2 linked regions of the Notamacropus eugenii genome follow. The protein of the gene in region 1 interacts with the protein of each later gene in a biochemical or structural test. Links are inferred from orthologs where the notes say so. Each region holds a gene or a part of one and is shown on either strand. Other genes may lie near its edges.

The links.
Region 2: the proteins of mediator of RNA polymerase II transcription subunit 23 (region 1) and ELF3 form a complex in vitro, tested with the Homo sapiens proteins (4 studies listed by BioGRID, with this or other methods). The link is inferred for Notamacropus eugenii from reciprocal best matches to the Homo sapiens genes MED23 and ELF3.

The regions. Positions count from the first base shown.
Region 1 is NC_092873.1:216,606,400-216,614,180, forward strand, and holds the start of mediator of RNA polymerase II transcription subunit 23, read right to left. Parts: upstream 3,951-7,781; 5' UTR 3,744-3,950; coding exon 3,696-3,743; intron 3,683-3,695; exon of another isoform or gene 3,510-3,682; intron 2,228-3,509; coding exon 2,196-2,227; intron 1,987-2,195; coding exon 1,899-1,986; intron 1-1,898. UniProt on the Homo sapiens protein: Required for transcriptional activation subsequent to the assembly of the pre-initiation complex. Component of the Mediator complex, a coactivator involved in the regulated transcription of nearly all RNA polymerase II-dependent genes.
Region 2 is NC_092873.1:438,366,797-438,374,577, forward strand, and holds the start of ELF3 (ETS-related transcription factor Elf-3), read right to left. Parts: upstream 4,283-7,781; 5' UTR 4,150-4,282; intron 3,244-4,149; 5' UTR 3,232-3,243; coding exon 3,078-3,231; intron 2,720-3,077; coding exon 2,498-2,719; intron 2,074-2,497; coding exon 1,981-2,073; intron 1,549-1,980; coding exon 1,429-1,548; intron 1,218-1,428; coding exon 1,125-1,217; intron 529-1,124; coding exon 412-528; intron 1-411. UniProt on the Homo sapiens protein: Transcriptional activator that binds and transactivates ETS sequences containing the consensus nucleotide core sequence GGA[AT]. Acts synergistically with POU2F3 to transactivate the SPRR2A promoter and with RUNX1 to transactivate the ANGPT1 promoter.

The DNA of each region.
Region 1 (7,781 bases):
ATTCTCAGGGCTACTCATCCACCTCTGGTGTCTACCTTCACCCAGTTCTCACCTGTAGCTCCAAGAAGCTGTAGCATGTACAATGGCCACACCCTGGTGAACCACCTCAGCAGTCAGGCTAAATTAGTTTGAGGGTAAACTGACAGGCCTCAAACCCATAGGTAAGGTAGGGGAACATCTACTCAAGCATGTGAAGACTTTCCCTGGCAGAATGGGTAGATGAGAACAAGTTGTTCCAATAGTGATGAAGGTGGTTAAAACAAGAACTGTGGAGCATGGAGAGCCAAGAGAAGACAGCAGTCATCCTGAGCCATCGCCAGTTGTCTTGATTTTTGTCCTGCCACTGGACTTTGATGACTCAGGAAAGGAGTGAAGCTGACAACTTTGTGCAATTCTACCTCATTTAAAATCCACTTCATGCCCCAAGTTAAGACATCACTAATGATGTCATTAGTCCCCTTAGAAAATGAAGGATGAACCACAGCTATAGGTACTGCTCCCACAACTGTGGCATCAATCTGTTCCTTCTGTAGTTGGGCCTGTCTGGGACAAAAAGCCTTCGCTATGTTTTGGTTATACTCTTAACAAAAGAGTAGATAGGAAGAAGTCTGTCAGCCTCAGTTTTACAGATAAGGAACATGAGCCACAGGGACTAAGTGGCTTGCCCAAGTTACACAATAAGTATTAGCCATTTGGAAGTGTAAGAAATAATAAAATTTAGGTTTGTTACTATCTCCCATATAATCTTGTCTCATGATACACTTTGCTAACTCTTATTTTATTTTCTCTTTTTCACAGATACAATCCATTATCACTTCTAAGCTTTTATTGGGAGATAGTTAAATTTATACCTAAACATATATGAGGGGAAGTCAGTGGCTGAGCAAGTAAGGTTTAGGTGGTCACAGAATGTTACAGTGACAAAGGGACATTAGAAATTATCTATTCAAGTTCTTAAAGTCTTAACTTTTCTTTGTTATAAAACCCTCTAGCAGTCTGGTAAAGGTTATGGAACCCCCTCCTCCCAATAATGTTTTTAAATGCCTAAAAATAAAATATATAAGCTTACAAAAAAAACCACATTAAAATATTTTTTCAAAAACAAGTTCACAGACTCCAGGATAAGAAATCCTTATCTAATCCAACCCTGTGGTTTTACAGATGATGAAACTGAGGCTCAGAGAAAGGGGTGGGGGCAAGTGATTCACCCAAGGTCATGAAGCTAATATATGATAAAGCTGGGATTAGAAGTCAAGTCTCCCACCTTTAAGATGGATATGATTCTGCAGATAAACCAAAGGAGTAAGGCCCTGCCTCTACTTCCATCAGTGTTCCTGTCTTCCCTTATTTCCCAACTGAAAGTATCTTTACTATCTTTTCTATCCTCTGGCACAAAAAAAACTTACATAGGGCACTGCTGATTCCTGCTGTTTCTGAATACAAGGGAACAAAGAGAATGCTTGGCTCCTATGTTGTAAATTGACCTTTTGGTCTGCCAAAGTTTTACAGGAAAGCTACTATACAGATTTTAAAGACATTAAAATATTCTTATTTAGTTTGACATAATGAATCTCACTCCTACCCACCACCAACAAAATACAGTTAAACACAGGAAGAGACTACAGAATCCCCATTCCTTGAATCTTTAAAAAACAACATGGAGAGCTGCTTATATTAAAGCAATATAATGAAATGTATACAAATTTTAGTCCTGGTTTCCCCATCTAAAGCAAGTAACTATATACACAGTTTTCTCATCTGCCAGATGAAGTTTGAAAAGAAAATCCTTGTCTTATCGACCTCATGGGGCTTATAAGGATCAAATATGATAGCATATGTAAAAATATTTTAAAATCACAACATTACATATGAGATATTATTTAAACTTTAGTGCTCACCTGAGAAAGGCCACCCCAAAACTGTCTGAAAGCTCCCAAGCAGCTGATCAGTTTTGTTTTTTCATCTTCTGGTGTATCCATAAACATGCTAAAGAAAGAAAATACTGTTATCATCTGCTACCAACTGCTACATACAAATGGTCACCATCGTGATTAAAAAGCAACCCTGCACAGATCCCTCATTATCTACCAAATATTGTGCTTATTAAAGGATATCCAGAATGACAAGAAACTAGAGAAGGACAGGGAAAGAAATAGATACCACATAAACGGATTTTTATCTTGCATTATACTTACCCTGGAAATGCCTCTTCTATGATTTCTGTTTTCTGTAAAATAAACAAACAAAAAAAACGCCATTAAATTTTAAGAGTACTTAAATATATTCCCAATTTGTCTGGGCTCTCATACTCTGATTTGTTGTGTGACCTTCAATAAAGCACATTAGGTTTAGTCAAAGTGAACCTTTTTCAGACTAAAGGACCAAAACTAGCTTGGAGTGACTAATCAACCAAGCAAGAAACATTCATGAAGCACCTACTGTATTCTGTGCATATACAGAAATAAATGAAACAGTCCCCATTCTCAATTTGCTTACATTCTATCAGAGGAAACAGCCTGGTGACCTGAGGCAAGTCACAATCATGCTGGGCCTGTTTCTTATCCATAAAATAAGAGGCCTTGCACAAATACAAGGTAATTTTAGAGGATTAACAGTAATAGTTGAAAGAAATGGGAAGGTCCAGTGTAGAAGGGGGCGCTTGAGGAGTTCTGAAGGACTAGGAGCTGCAGTGGCAGAGAGGAGGGAGGCCACCTGAGCCTGAGGGAACGTACAAGGCAAAGGAGTTGCGTCCTCACCATTTCTCCCATGAAGGAAAGACCTCATCTCTAAGTGTTCTAAGCCAAGACACAGAAGCTCCCAGGAAGGCTCAGAAACCTTGGCCTGGAGGGCCCCCAACTGCACATGACCATGGCAGCTGCTGGATCCTCCCCCTCACCTAGGGCCTCTTTACTTGTCATCAGTCTGCCCCATTCTTCTGAAAAACAGATCTAAGGGTTTTGGTAAACCGTGCGCTCAACACGATGAGCTGTGGGATTCTGGATTACCTGCACTTTCCAATAAAAGGGGTGAAATCCCCCACGAACTCTGTCCTCCTCAAACTTCCTATCTGGAGGGCCGAGCTCATCTCCCTACCTAATAAACTCCAGTGGCTCCCAAGAAATTGGCCTGAAAACATTAAAATGAGTAGCAGCTATGTAGTCTGACTGGACAAATCTTACTCCCACCTGGAGGTCTCGGATCAAATATAAAATCTTATGCTTGACGTGTAAAGGCCTTCCCACTTCTGCCCCTTTCCCTTTGCAATCTTATTCTCCGCTCCCCTCTGCATAGTCTGTTAACTCAGAGACGCCGGGCTTCTGGCTGGTGCTCGAACAGGACATTCCATCTCCAGCCTGCATGCCTTTGCCCGGGCCGTGCCCCCTGCCTGGCATGCTCTCCCTTCTCCCTTTGGCCTCCACTCCAGTTCTACGTTCTGCAAGAATCCTTTCCTGGTCGCTAGCGCTTTCCCCGAGAGAATCCCTTCTCATGGATCACGGCAGACTGCTTACGCGAGGTTGCGTGCACACCGTCTTCCCCCCTGGGGAGGGCGAGGGCCTGGTTTTCCTTCTCTTTGGCTACCCCGCGCTTGGCCCGGCACACAGCAGGCGTTTGATCCATGCTGGGGGAGCCACAGCAGGGGAAGGCATCTCTCTCCCTCCTCCCCTTCCTGCGGTCCGCACCGGCTCCGCACTCACCACGACCTCCTCGAAAATGCTCTGCAGCTGCGTCTCCATTTGCACCATGGCGGCGGCGGCCGGGGCGGCGGGGCCGGGCCCACAGCCCTCCTCTTCCGATCGCGGCTCGAGCTCCGCCGCAGCCCCGGGAGGCCCGGCTCGAGCGTGGGCGCCGCGCGCGCCCGGACCCCTCCCTCGGCGCCGAACGCTGGGCGAAGCCCCGCACAGCTGGGTACCCAGCGCGGCGCCGCGGGGACGCCCGGCTCGCTCCCCTCCCGGAAACGCCGGGCGGAGACGCGAGCCAACGACCGGGCACTTCCGGGAGGCGAGGGAGGGGCGTGGTGAGCGCTCCCAGCCAATCACGCGGAGGCTCCGCCCCTCCCCGCCCCCGGGAGTCTCCTCCCTAACCTGTTTGTCTGCTCCTTCATCCACCCTGCCCGGGCTCCTCTATTTAGCATCCTTGCGCTCCCCCCACCTCAATCTCTTCCTAAATAATTTTATTCTGTTTTAGGCAGTGGGAAGCTGCGTATTTTTTTTTTTTATGTCCCCCGCGCTCAGCTCAGTGTCCAGCACTTGGGGGCTTAATAAGCGCTGGTTGGCTGGTGGAGGACGTTTCTGTTCTGCACCTTTGTGTGATGGTAATTTGGAAAATGAATTTTATCCTTTTTTTTTTATTGGCCCGAGGCAGCGGATACAGCAGAGGGCTTGGAGTCCGGGACACTTGAGTTCAAAACTGGCCCCAGACGCCAGCTCTGTGACCCTGAGCACGGCGCTTAATCGCTGCCTGCCTCAGTTTCCCCATCTGTAAAATGAGGATAACGGTAACAACACCTGTCTCCCAAAGTAGCTGTGAGTATCAAATGAGGTCATAGTTGTAAAGCGCTTCCGTGTACCTGTTAGGTATTATCTAACAGTTATATTTCATAGTACTTACATCATTAAAATATATAAATATATTTTATCAGCGATGGTTGTGTATGTATGTATATATAGGAGTGCATATATGTGTATACACATAATATAAAAACACAGTTCCTTTTGAAAATAGAACCTTCTCCCCATCATCCAAGGAGCTACATAGTGCAAAAATTGATTTCTGTTTTGGATATGTTGAGTTTGAAATGCCAGTGGGAGAAATATCGAATAGACAGTTTGTGGTGAGGGACTGGCACTCAGGAGAAGAGGGCTAGATAAGCAGGTAGATGGGAAAGAATGAGGAAGAACAGTCCAAAAGAAAGGAGCCGACACATCCACCATGCCTGGCTTTATATGTGACGTTCCCGTTCCCTCCTTCTCCTACTTCTGTAATGCAGGGAGCTTTGGGCTTCGATGTTCCATAAGGAGGCCATTGGGAGTAGAGAGGGAAGAGGGCGCTTCAGAAAACAAGAAGCATTTATTTCGTGCCTGCTGTGTGCAGGGGGACACATTTAGAAGTGCCACTTCTGAAAGAGGAAGGGGATGTTCTGGGCAGGAGCTGGCCAGGAGTCACAACTCTCTTTAGAAGAGGGGAAGGGGGAAGGGACCAAGGAGGGCAATGATCTTAACTACATCTGAATTATTACTCCTTCTAAACTTGATTACCATCCTTAATACAATTTCCAGACAACACCCTGCCCAAGCTCCACTTAATGGCTAGTTTAGAGTGATTATCAATGGTAACATTTTCTGTTTCCCTTCCGGATTGATTTAGTTATTTCTTTGTTGTTGTTGTTCATTAAAAGGGCCATTCCCTGACTACTTCTTAAAGAGGCCTTTTCACTCAATGGTCTTTACCTCCCTCGAAGTGAGTACCTGAAAAGGCCAGCCTAACACTGCATCCTGGGTCACCTCCAGTCATCTTGATGGGTCATGGGACCCATATGGCTCAGGAGGAGAAAGTGAGGCTGGTGACCTTTCGCAGCCCTCCCTCACTCAAAGCAAAGTCAAGTGCAAGTCATGTCATCATTTCTCTGATGTCATGGTCTTCTTCAAAAACGAAGGGTGATAGAAAGGAGAGCAAATTGGGGGAGGGGGTAGTCAGAAGCAAAACACTTGAGGAGGAACAGAGTGAAAGCAGATAATGGAATAAACAAGGGTGAGGTGAAGGCAAGGGCTTTCAGTAGGATGGAGGAAAATATCATTAGCCATAGTAACTGAAAAAAATTTTTGAGGCAAGTTTCTCTGATAACAGGCCTCATTTTTCAGACAAAAGAGAACTGATTCAGATTTATAAGTGAAATGGACAGAGAGAGAAAAAGCACAGGCAAGAGTCACCTGAGAATTTGAGAGCGTCTTTATTAGCCAGCGGCTGTCTCATGGAAAAACCCAGAAGAGGCAGCCGCGAAAAAGGTGTGTGTGTGCCTTTTAAGCATTTCGGCACTTCTCAGTACAGCTTTGTGGTTTTAACAGCAAACATATCTCACAGAACAGTTTTGACAGGGGCCCAAGTTGCTGCTAGGCAAAGGGGCACAACAGAGAGTGGGCTCCTAGGCAAAGGGGCACAACAGAGAGTGGCTGCCTAGGCAAAGGGGCACGACAGAGAGTGGGTTCCTAGGCAAAGGGGGGGTGGCTGCTAGGCAAAGAGGGGGCAACTGCTAGGCAAGGGGGGCACAACAGAAAGTGGCTACTAGGCAAAGGGGGGCCCAACCCTACCTAGAAACTCAACAGACATTTCTCAACCCAGGGGCTCCGGGGCGGGGGGGGGGGGGGATAATGTCTACTTCAATAAGAAATAAGAGCCATTCCCTAATTGATAAATGATCAAAATATATGATCAGTTTTCAGATGAAGTAATCAAAGCTATCTATAGCCATATGAGAAAGTACTCTAAATCACTATTGATTGGAGAAAGGCAAATAGAAACACTTCTGAGGTACTACTTGTTACCTATTAGATTGCCTAACGGAACAGAAAAGGAAAATGACAAATGTTGGGAATGGATGTGGGAAAAATGAAACATTAATGCATTGTTGATGGAGTTGTGAATTGATTTAACCATTCTGTAGAGAAATTTGGAATTATGCCCAAAGGGCTATAAAACCATGTGTACCCTTCGACCTAGCAATACCATTACTAAGCCAGTGTCCCAAAAAGAGACAAAAAACAAAGAGGAAAAGAATCTCTATGTACAAAAATATTTATAGCAACTCTTTTCTGAGGACAAAGAATTAAAAATTGAGAAGATGCCCATCAACTGGAGAATGGTGTAACAAGTTGTGGTATGTGATTACAATGGAATACTATTTGTACTACATATAAGAAATGATGAGCAGGATGCTTTCAGAAAAACCTGGAAAGGCTTGCATGGGCTGATGCAAAGTGAAATGTACTGTGTACAAAGTAAAAGCAAAATTCTAAGAATGTGAATGTCTTAGCTATTCTCTGCAATACCATAATCCAAGACAACTCTGAAGGACTTATAATGAAAAATGCTATCCATCCCCAGGCAAAGAACTGATGGTGTCCCAATACAGATTGAAGTATATTTTCTTACTTTATTTTTCTTGAGGGTTTTTTTTGTGTTTTTTTTCACAACGTGACTATTATGGACATGTTTTACAAAACTACACAACAGCCCAGACAATACATACTTTCCTAAAAGAAAGAGATTAATACTAAGATAAAAGATTTTAGTGAAGGGCATTCTTTTTGCCAAGAAATTCAATTAAGTCCTGATCAAGTTTCCTCCCTTAAGGTAAATCTGGAAAGAACTTTAAACTGTAGCAATACTTTATATTAATATTTTCATCTTAATTAAAAAGGTTAGTATGTTTCTATAATTTTTACATTACAATCTTTTCAGAATGTATCCTTTCCTGTTTGAATAGAAAGAGATCTGGAGGAAAGATATTTCTGATGAGGACTGGAAGGGAGGAGTTTGAGACCCCCACAGAGACCTGAGTACCAGGGGCAGGTCACATGGAATGAATTCATGGGCTCAAGCATTGTTGAGGTCAGGATAAAGATTTATTATGCTTTTTAGCACAAGAGTTCTTAGGGAAACTGCCACTTTAGAGGGATAGAGGTAAAGTTTATATAGGATATTCTATAGTATAGTGTGTGCCAAATATGCTAAGTAGGTGATCAGGGTGTGGTTAGTTCTTAAAGGAACATGCACTTTTCATATCT
Region 2 (7,781 bases), about 220 Mb from region 1:
GATGGGATTTGGGGCCTGGCTAACCACTTAAAAGGCAAGTCATAAACTGCTTTGTGCCTCTATTTCCTCACGTATATAATAAAAGGACTGGACTAGAGAAGCTATCTAGCTCTAACATTCTGTGATTCCTAGTTCTGCCACAAAACAGCAGTGTGACCTTGGGAAAGCTACTTTCCTCAGTTTCTTTAACAATATGAAAAATCCTGACTTACTTCACAAACAGGGCAGGTATCCTTAGCTATAAGTGACAGATGAGGAAACTGAAGCTAAATGTGAGATCATAAAACTGAGGAAGATCTTTGGAAATTACGCAGTGCCAGAGACTGTTTAACCCCTTCAACCCCAAACAGAAGTTGCCCCTGCCCACTCCTGCCCCAATGGCAACAACCATAGTAAGAGGTTAGTTCTTACCATGTTTGCTTTTCTTGCTCTCCAGGCACTCTCGGGTCTCCTTGCTCAGCTTTCGGGGGCGTCCTCGTTTCCTCTTCCCATATTTCAGGTCCCCTTCCTTGTAGTCAGAGAAGTTGTCTTAGGAGAGAAGGAAGGAAAATGGGAGTAAGTTGGGAGTCCAATCTATTTTCCAGTATCTCTGAATGTATAGGAATGATATCTGTCATTACTTTCTCCTCCCTCCCTCCCCAGCTTCCCTAGCCAGGAATCCAAACTCAAGCAGGTTCATGGCTGAAGTCAAGACTCCTAAGGGCCTTCACCGTTCCTTTCACTTATATTAAAACCTGTTTTCTCATACCCTCAAGGATTCAGGAGAAGCTCCCTTAGTTCCCCTCCCCTTGGGTCCCGTCATTTTTTTTTCACTTGGCCTCTGGTTCCTTCCTCCACCCCCTAGCTAATCAAACAGTCTCCTTGGAGCATTCAAAGCACCCATCACTTCTCACTCACTCTGATCTCTGAGCCTCTGACCCTCCATCAGTCCCATACTCTGTGCCAGCCCAGCCAGGTACTGCCCACTCTGACCTTGATAACTCACCTAGCTGGGTGTTTAACTCCCCTCTCCAGACAACCAACTCTGAATCCCACCACTATTCCTCTCAAATAGATCAGGGACCATCTGCCTGCCCTCTCACACTGGGGAGGGCCCATCTCTATAACCTTTTCCCCTCACTTACCACTGGGAAAAGAGAAGAGTTTGTTGTCTGTGGGGTCTAAATCCACATCACTTGCACCAGAGTCTGAGTGGGGACTTTGGGAGGTTCCAGTCCCTAGATGAGGGAAGGAAGGAAACCCGGTGAATCCCCCAAGCTAGCAAACGGCTTGGACACCCTCAGCCCAGGTTCATCCGAGTCCTTTTGTCCCAAGTCTGGCTGAGCTCTGTTTCTCCTTAGCTAACCCTGTCCCTCTTATAGGAGGTGTAGCCCTGGGTACAAAGCTGAGAGCCTGGGAGATTCAGGGTTCCAAGACTTGGACTCTTACCTGAAGTGGACACATCTGAGCAGCCTGGAGAAGGAGCCCCTGTCCCGTAGCTTCCTGGATAATAGGGACTGGCCAACCTTGAATCATCCAACAAATCTTGGCTGAAAGGGCTGCCATGATCTGGGGAGAGAAGATAGTAGGGATAAGCACTGACTACAGAGGAATGGGGTGGGGCTGGCTATCTCAGAAAATAGGCATATTCATGAGGGTCCTGGAAGACAAAGTGCGTGTATATTTCCAGGTAAGGGGGAGGATACTGGCTGGGTCCCTGGGGCCAGGGTCTTTCAGGACTTTTGACAGGTCCTAGATTTAGAGCCAGAAGAGTCCTTAGAGTTCAGCTAATCTAATACTCCCATTTCTCACCCCCCACACCCTATTTCCCATTAATAAAGGAAACTGAGGTCTAGGAGGTTAGATGGTTTGCCCAAAGAGAATTAAATCACGGAGATTTGGAAGTCAATTTACCCTAGGCTGGTTGGAGGTCATCTGGTTTAAAAGTTCCTGGGGCTAGATCAAGAAGGTAGAAGTAAGGGGAAAGGTAGGGACTCTTACCAAAGGTGGAATCTCCCATGATATCCTGAGAAATGAGTCCATCCTTCTCCAGGAGCTCAATGATCCAGCTAAGCTCATCAGATGAGCCAGATGCTAGAGAAAAGAAGGAAGGCATGAAGGAAGTGAAGTGGGAGGGTGGAAAGAGGAGATGGGGGGTTACTGTCAAGGTATCAGCAGGGCATATTCAGTAGCCCTCACCTTTTTCTTCTTTTTACAGGGTTCTATAATCCATATCTGGCTGGTGGCTGAGACTCTAGGCTCCTTCCCACCACAGGGCCCACCTTCTCTAAATTTATCCTTAGGACAAGGCTTAATTTAATGCCAATCCTGGCACCTACTTAAATATACTAGTTTGCCAGGACTTGGAACCCCCAGACCAGTCTCCCTTAACTTTCTGGTCAAACTCAGACTTCTAACCTGCCCTCTAGATTGGCCATCAGAGCCCTTGAGAGTGTCATTTCAATTGGTGGCTCTAACCCTGGGATATGTGGGGGACAGAACCCTCCTTGGCACTCACAGAGGTCTTGCAGCTGGGCAAAGAGCGTATCCCCCAGGGGTCCAAAGACCAGGCCCAGCTCTTCTCGGGGGCAGTTGCACAGCGTGGCACCATCCATATTGCATCGGGTAAAGTCAATGGCTTTAGCATCATATTTATTCTTATCCACCTGATAGTCAATCCATTCTAGGACCTGGTCCTTTGACCACAAGTGGGGCAGCATTCCTGACCAGCTGCCTTTGTCTAGCAAAGGAAGAGGGCACTAAGTTAATAGGACAAGGGAAATGGTTGCCCCGTCTCGTCTCACCTCTGCCTCTCCATTCACACTTTATCCCCGTAGACCTTTGACTGCTGCCCCTATTGTATTAGTGTTTCATGTATATTCCCCCCAAAACCACTCCCAGCCTCCCAGCACTCACTCTGTCTAAGCTATCCTCACTTACTCCTCCTCCCCTACATTCTCTCTGATCCCAGCTCTGAGTCTCTCTCTTTGGGGTGGGGAAGCCATCTAAGACTCCCTTCTCCTTTGCCTTCCTGACTTCCAAGCTCTTTGGATGATTACACTCCACTTCCTCCAGGCTCCCTGTGCTCCCAGACCCACCTGTGCCCTCTAGGGGCATCTGTGCATTGCTCAGGGTCAGCACTGGGTCGTCCCCACCCAAGGTGGCTGATGAGGCTGGAGCTGGGTCTTCTGCCTGGTACATGGCGCTGATATAGTTGCTGAAAATGTTGCTGATCTCACAAGATGCAGCCATGAGGTTTCCTCTCTGTGGTTAAAGTTAAGAAAAGTCAAGAAAAGAAAAACTGGGGTCCGGGATCAGAGACCAAGGCTCCTAGTTGGGATATTAGACACATTTCTTGTTCCCCTCCTCTGGACTCAGAGGTTTGGGCTAATAAGGTAGCAAGCCTGGGCACAAAACCCCCCCAATACCCCATTCTTTATCCTCCCCTTAAAAATCCCCACAGGAACTAAAGACTTTCCAATCTGGAAAGAATTCAATTCTCCCCAACTGATCATTTTGTAAATGTACAAAGGGAGGTCTGCATGTAAATTAAGCCACTTGCTCAAGGTCATTCATCTAGTCAGTGGAAACAGCAAGTGATATATCAGTCTGCTGTCTCCCCACTTCAAGTGGTCAGGGGGAGAGCCAGCATCTCCCAATCCCTCGGGCCAATAATCAAGAATTCCCAATACAGCTTTCACAAGAATAGGGCTGAGATTCAAGGTTAACAAGAAATTGCTGATTGCTGTGGGGAGGCAGGTAGCCTAGGATTTAAATCTTTGTCTGCCCAGACCCAACCTTTCCTGGAATTCCTCTCTAAGGTTTAGGTAGGAAAAGTGATTTCTTTAATGCTGACTTCTTCCTCTTTACCGAGGTTCCCTTCTCTGCATCTGATGTTCTGGGGCAGTTTAAGATGGGGAGACTGATCCCAAAGAACCCCTCAAATCAGAGGTTCCCTCCACCTCCACCCCATGAACCTCTGAGAGTCTTAGGATTCTGACATTGGGACAAGTCAGTAAAAGACCTGATAATCCCTCCATTGGAGCCTCATGCATAAGATGGGAGGGGTGGTGAAAAGAAGCACATTCCCCTCCCCAAGTCCTACCTAGATCTTTGGGGAGCCCCATGCTGCTGAGGCATGTTTTCTGCGGGGGTGAGTTGGGAACCTACCAGAGTGTAAGACCCAGGACAGTCAGCAGCAGTGGGTAATCCAGGTAGCAAGTTAACTCCAGCAGGTAAATGAACACAGCATCTAGGTACCTCCGGCTTCCCTTCTCACTCCGCCCTAAATAAAGCCTAAGGCAGACTCCTCCCAGGGCAGGAGCATTTTATATGCAGCTCCTCTGCTGTAACCTGAGCGGGTTAGCCTTGAGGCGGGCAGTCTCATTGGACCAAGGGGATTTCCTGGCCTCGGGACCCAGGCTCCCTGCCCTTGATGATTTGCATATTATATCCCAGGCAGGCGGGCGGGAGGGTGCTGGGAAATCAGGCTAGGCTGGTTTAATGATTGTCAGTGTCTGTCATCCCTCACCCTCTGGGGTGGACACTGGGGTGGGGGAAATTGGCAGGAGAGAGGGTGGGCACCCCTGGTGGTACCACCCTCAGACTCAGGAAATTCCCCAGAGGGCCTGGAGAAAGAGACAGTGAGATGGGTTGCTGGGCTCCTGGCTGTCCCCCAGAGGTGCCTTGGGAGCAGAGTTGGGTGGGGGCTGGAGCTGGTTTAAGGATTAAGATTCCGAAGGGACCTTAGGGAACATGTACCCCACCACTCTTTACATTCAGGTGATCCCTGTAAGTGCTTGGAGATCTAAAAATTTATGGGAAGGAAGACTGAGAAAGCTGATTTCTCATCCCTGGTAGGCTCTTCTTGAATTCTGGAAGGATTTGGGGTTGGTCGAAGGACCAGATGCCCATGTTTTCCCCGATTCAGAGCTCTGTCTGCAGCTATTTCTGGGGAGCAACATAGGGACTGCTCTACCAAAAATGGAGCAGAAGAGACATGGAGGACTTTGGGCATTGGCCCAGAACCTGCTCCTTAGCCTTGGTCTAGACATCAGAAGGCTTTAGTTTTGAATCTAGGCCCTGCCATTTGCTGTATGGCCATGGTAGAGGGACTTAATCCTCTCTGAGCCTCAGCTTTCTCATCTGAGAAATGGACGTATCACAGGATTTAATGGGAGTTTCAAATTGGACTGAAATTTTTAAAGGACTTTTTTGTTGTTAACAATATACAGTATCGATGTGTTACCGGAGGTCATTATCTGTTCCCCCTCCCCCTCCCCGCTATCCAGAGAGGTTGGATGCAGCCAAGAAGAGACTGCCTTCCCTTCCCCTCCCCCCATCTTCTAAGCAGTTCATCCTTCACCCCAACCTCTCTCCTATGCCCCAACGATTCACCAATGCTTGCCTGCTGCCCCCTGGTGGTCAAAACTTTCCCAAGAACCCCTCAGGGGTCCTAACTGCCCGGCAATGCAGCCTGGGGCTGCAATGGGACCAAAGGCAGGAGAATCCTTGGGCTCTGAGTACTAATGTCTCTTTCCCATTGTGGGACCAGGGGCAAGCCCTGTCTCCTCACCAGGATCCAATGAGGAGACATCCCCCAGGAGAAGGAGGAAACATGAGGAGAAGGGAAGCAGAAGATACACTGAGGGCTGGGACTGGGCCAACCCTCCCTCCCCATATAGTGTATGTGAGTAGACCCACATGTATGTCTGTATACACTTACACATGTGTACACACACATATATGTAGATGTATGTGTATGTATATGCATAATGCTATACATACACCATATTGTATATACATATATATACACATTATATATCTATATCCCCATACAGAGAGCACAGTGAGTTTCTTACTCCTTCCCAATAATTAGTGCCAACTTCAGGTAGGACACAATATTTTTTTTCAAATTAAATTTAAAATTGTCAATTAACAATCATATATTTTCTCTCCTCTCCTCTAAACAAAAAAAAGAAAAGAAAAAAAGAAAAAAATCAACCATTCTGTGACTGGGAGCCCCAGAAGTCCCATGTGCCCCCCAGGGTTTTGTCTTGGCAATGAGCCTCAGGGCTGTCTTCTCTGAAGTTACAGAGAGATGGCATCCAGAAGACAAGGTGTTAATGCCCCAAGCCCCACTGGGTCAGGGGTGGCAGAAGCAGCCTGGGGCTCTGGTCATAGGATTTTCCCCAGCCCTTCAGGGGGCCTCCCCCAGCAGCCCGAGGCAGGCACACCCTCCACCTACGACTCACCCTGGAATGTGGGAGAACCTGCTCCCAGCCCTAGGGACTTGCTCACGTGTCCTTTGCCCTGAGGAGACCTTGTGGGTCCTCGTAGGGAGGGAAAAAGGGGAGGAGAGTCCCTGACCCAGATGGCCCAAGCTAGAAGGGTCCTCAGAAACTGGGTCCAATTTATTTAACCTGGAGGAGGAATCTGAAGCCCTCACACAGGAAATGACTTGTCCAACGTAACATGGGACCTAAGCCCCAGGGCAGGGATTTGGACCCAGGCTGTGTGACTCCAACTCTAAACCAAGCTCGGTGTTCTTTCACCATGCCACTCACAGCTTCCAGAGAGACTGGACAGGTTCCTTGGACCACAGCACGGCCTCTCTCCATTTATTCCATCCTATAGGGAGGAAGGAATTGAGGCAAGTGAGTGAAGAGGGGGTGGAAGGAGAGAGGAAAGCAGGGAAGGGTTTGAATCTGAAGGCTGTTTCATGGAAGGGAGGAATTATGCAGTAATCGAGATAATGATAATAGTCAACATTGAACACTTCAAAGTTTACAAAATGCTTCATGTACTTTATCTCACTTAGTCCTCTCAATAACCCTGGGAGGTAGGTTTTATTATTCCCATTTTATGGATGGGAAAGCTGAAGCTGAAGAGGAGCTAACACGCTGGGGCTCACACAACTAGAGCTCCAATTCAGGTCTTCATGAATCCGAGTCTGGCACTATACCACCTAGCTGCTCCAAGGGGTAGAGAAGATAGAAAGGAACAGTGGAGCTCTCCCCTCCTTTTCCTCTCCCCTCTCCCATCTAAAGAATGGTTCATTATGTTCCTTCAGTAGTTCAGCCTGTCCCCCAGAGCCAGGAAGCAGGGTGCCATCGAAAAGGGAGAAATTGAAGTTTATGGTTGGGGGGAGGGTATAGGGGATTGATTGACCGACACTGGAAAGTGCTGGAGGAAGGGGAAGAAAGTGGCATCAAGGGCATAGTTTAGCTTTGGTGACTATCTTCTTCTGTGACCAGAGGGAAGGAGGCAGAGACACACAGAGAAGGAGGGAGGGAGAGATGGGAAAAAGGGGCTGGGAAAGAGAATGGAAGAGGGAGAGGAAGAGACAGAGGACAGGGAGAAAGAAGAGGGAGATATGGAAGGGAGGTGGAGAGAAAGAGAAGAGAGAGGAGGAGAAAGGAGAGAGACAGACAGACAGACAGAGAAGGAGAGCAAATGCTTAGAAGTTTGCCGGGCAAGTTTAGCTCGGACAACCTGAGACCTCTCGGGCTGGCGGTGCAGGGGATGGATGTCCAACAGGTGCTGAGGCATGGTGTGCACATGCGCGAGCTCTGATTACTAAGCCCTGGAGTTGGGAGGACTCGGCCCGCTCTCGCCCCGCAGACTTACAACTTGCCTCGGGGAAGGCGCAAGAGCCTCCCTGAGTCTGAGTTCGCTCACGTGTAAGATAAGGGAGACTGAAGTGTCTGGCTCCTGAGATCCCTTCTTGCTCTAAGTCTAGGATTCTAAGACAGAACAAAGTTCAGTACAGTCACGCCGGGGGGAAAAGAGGCAACAAATGT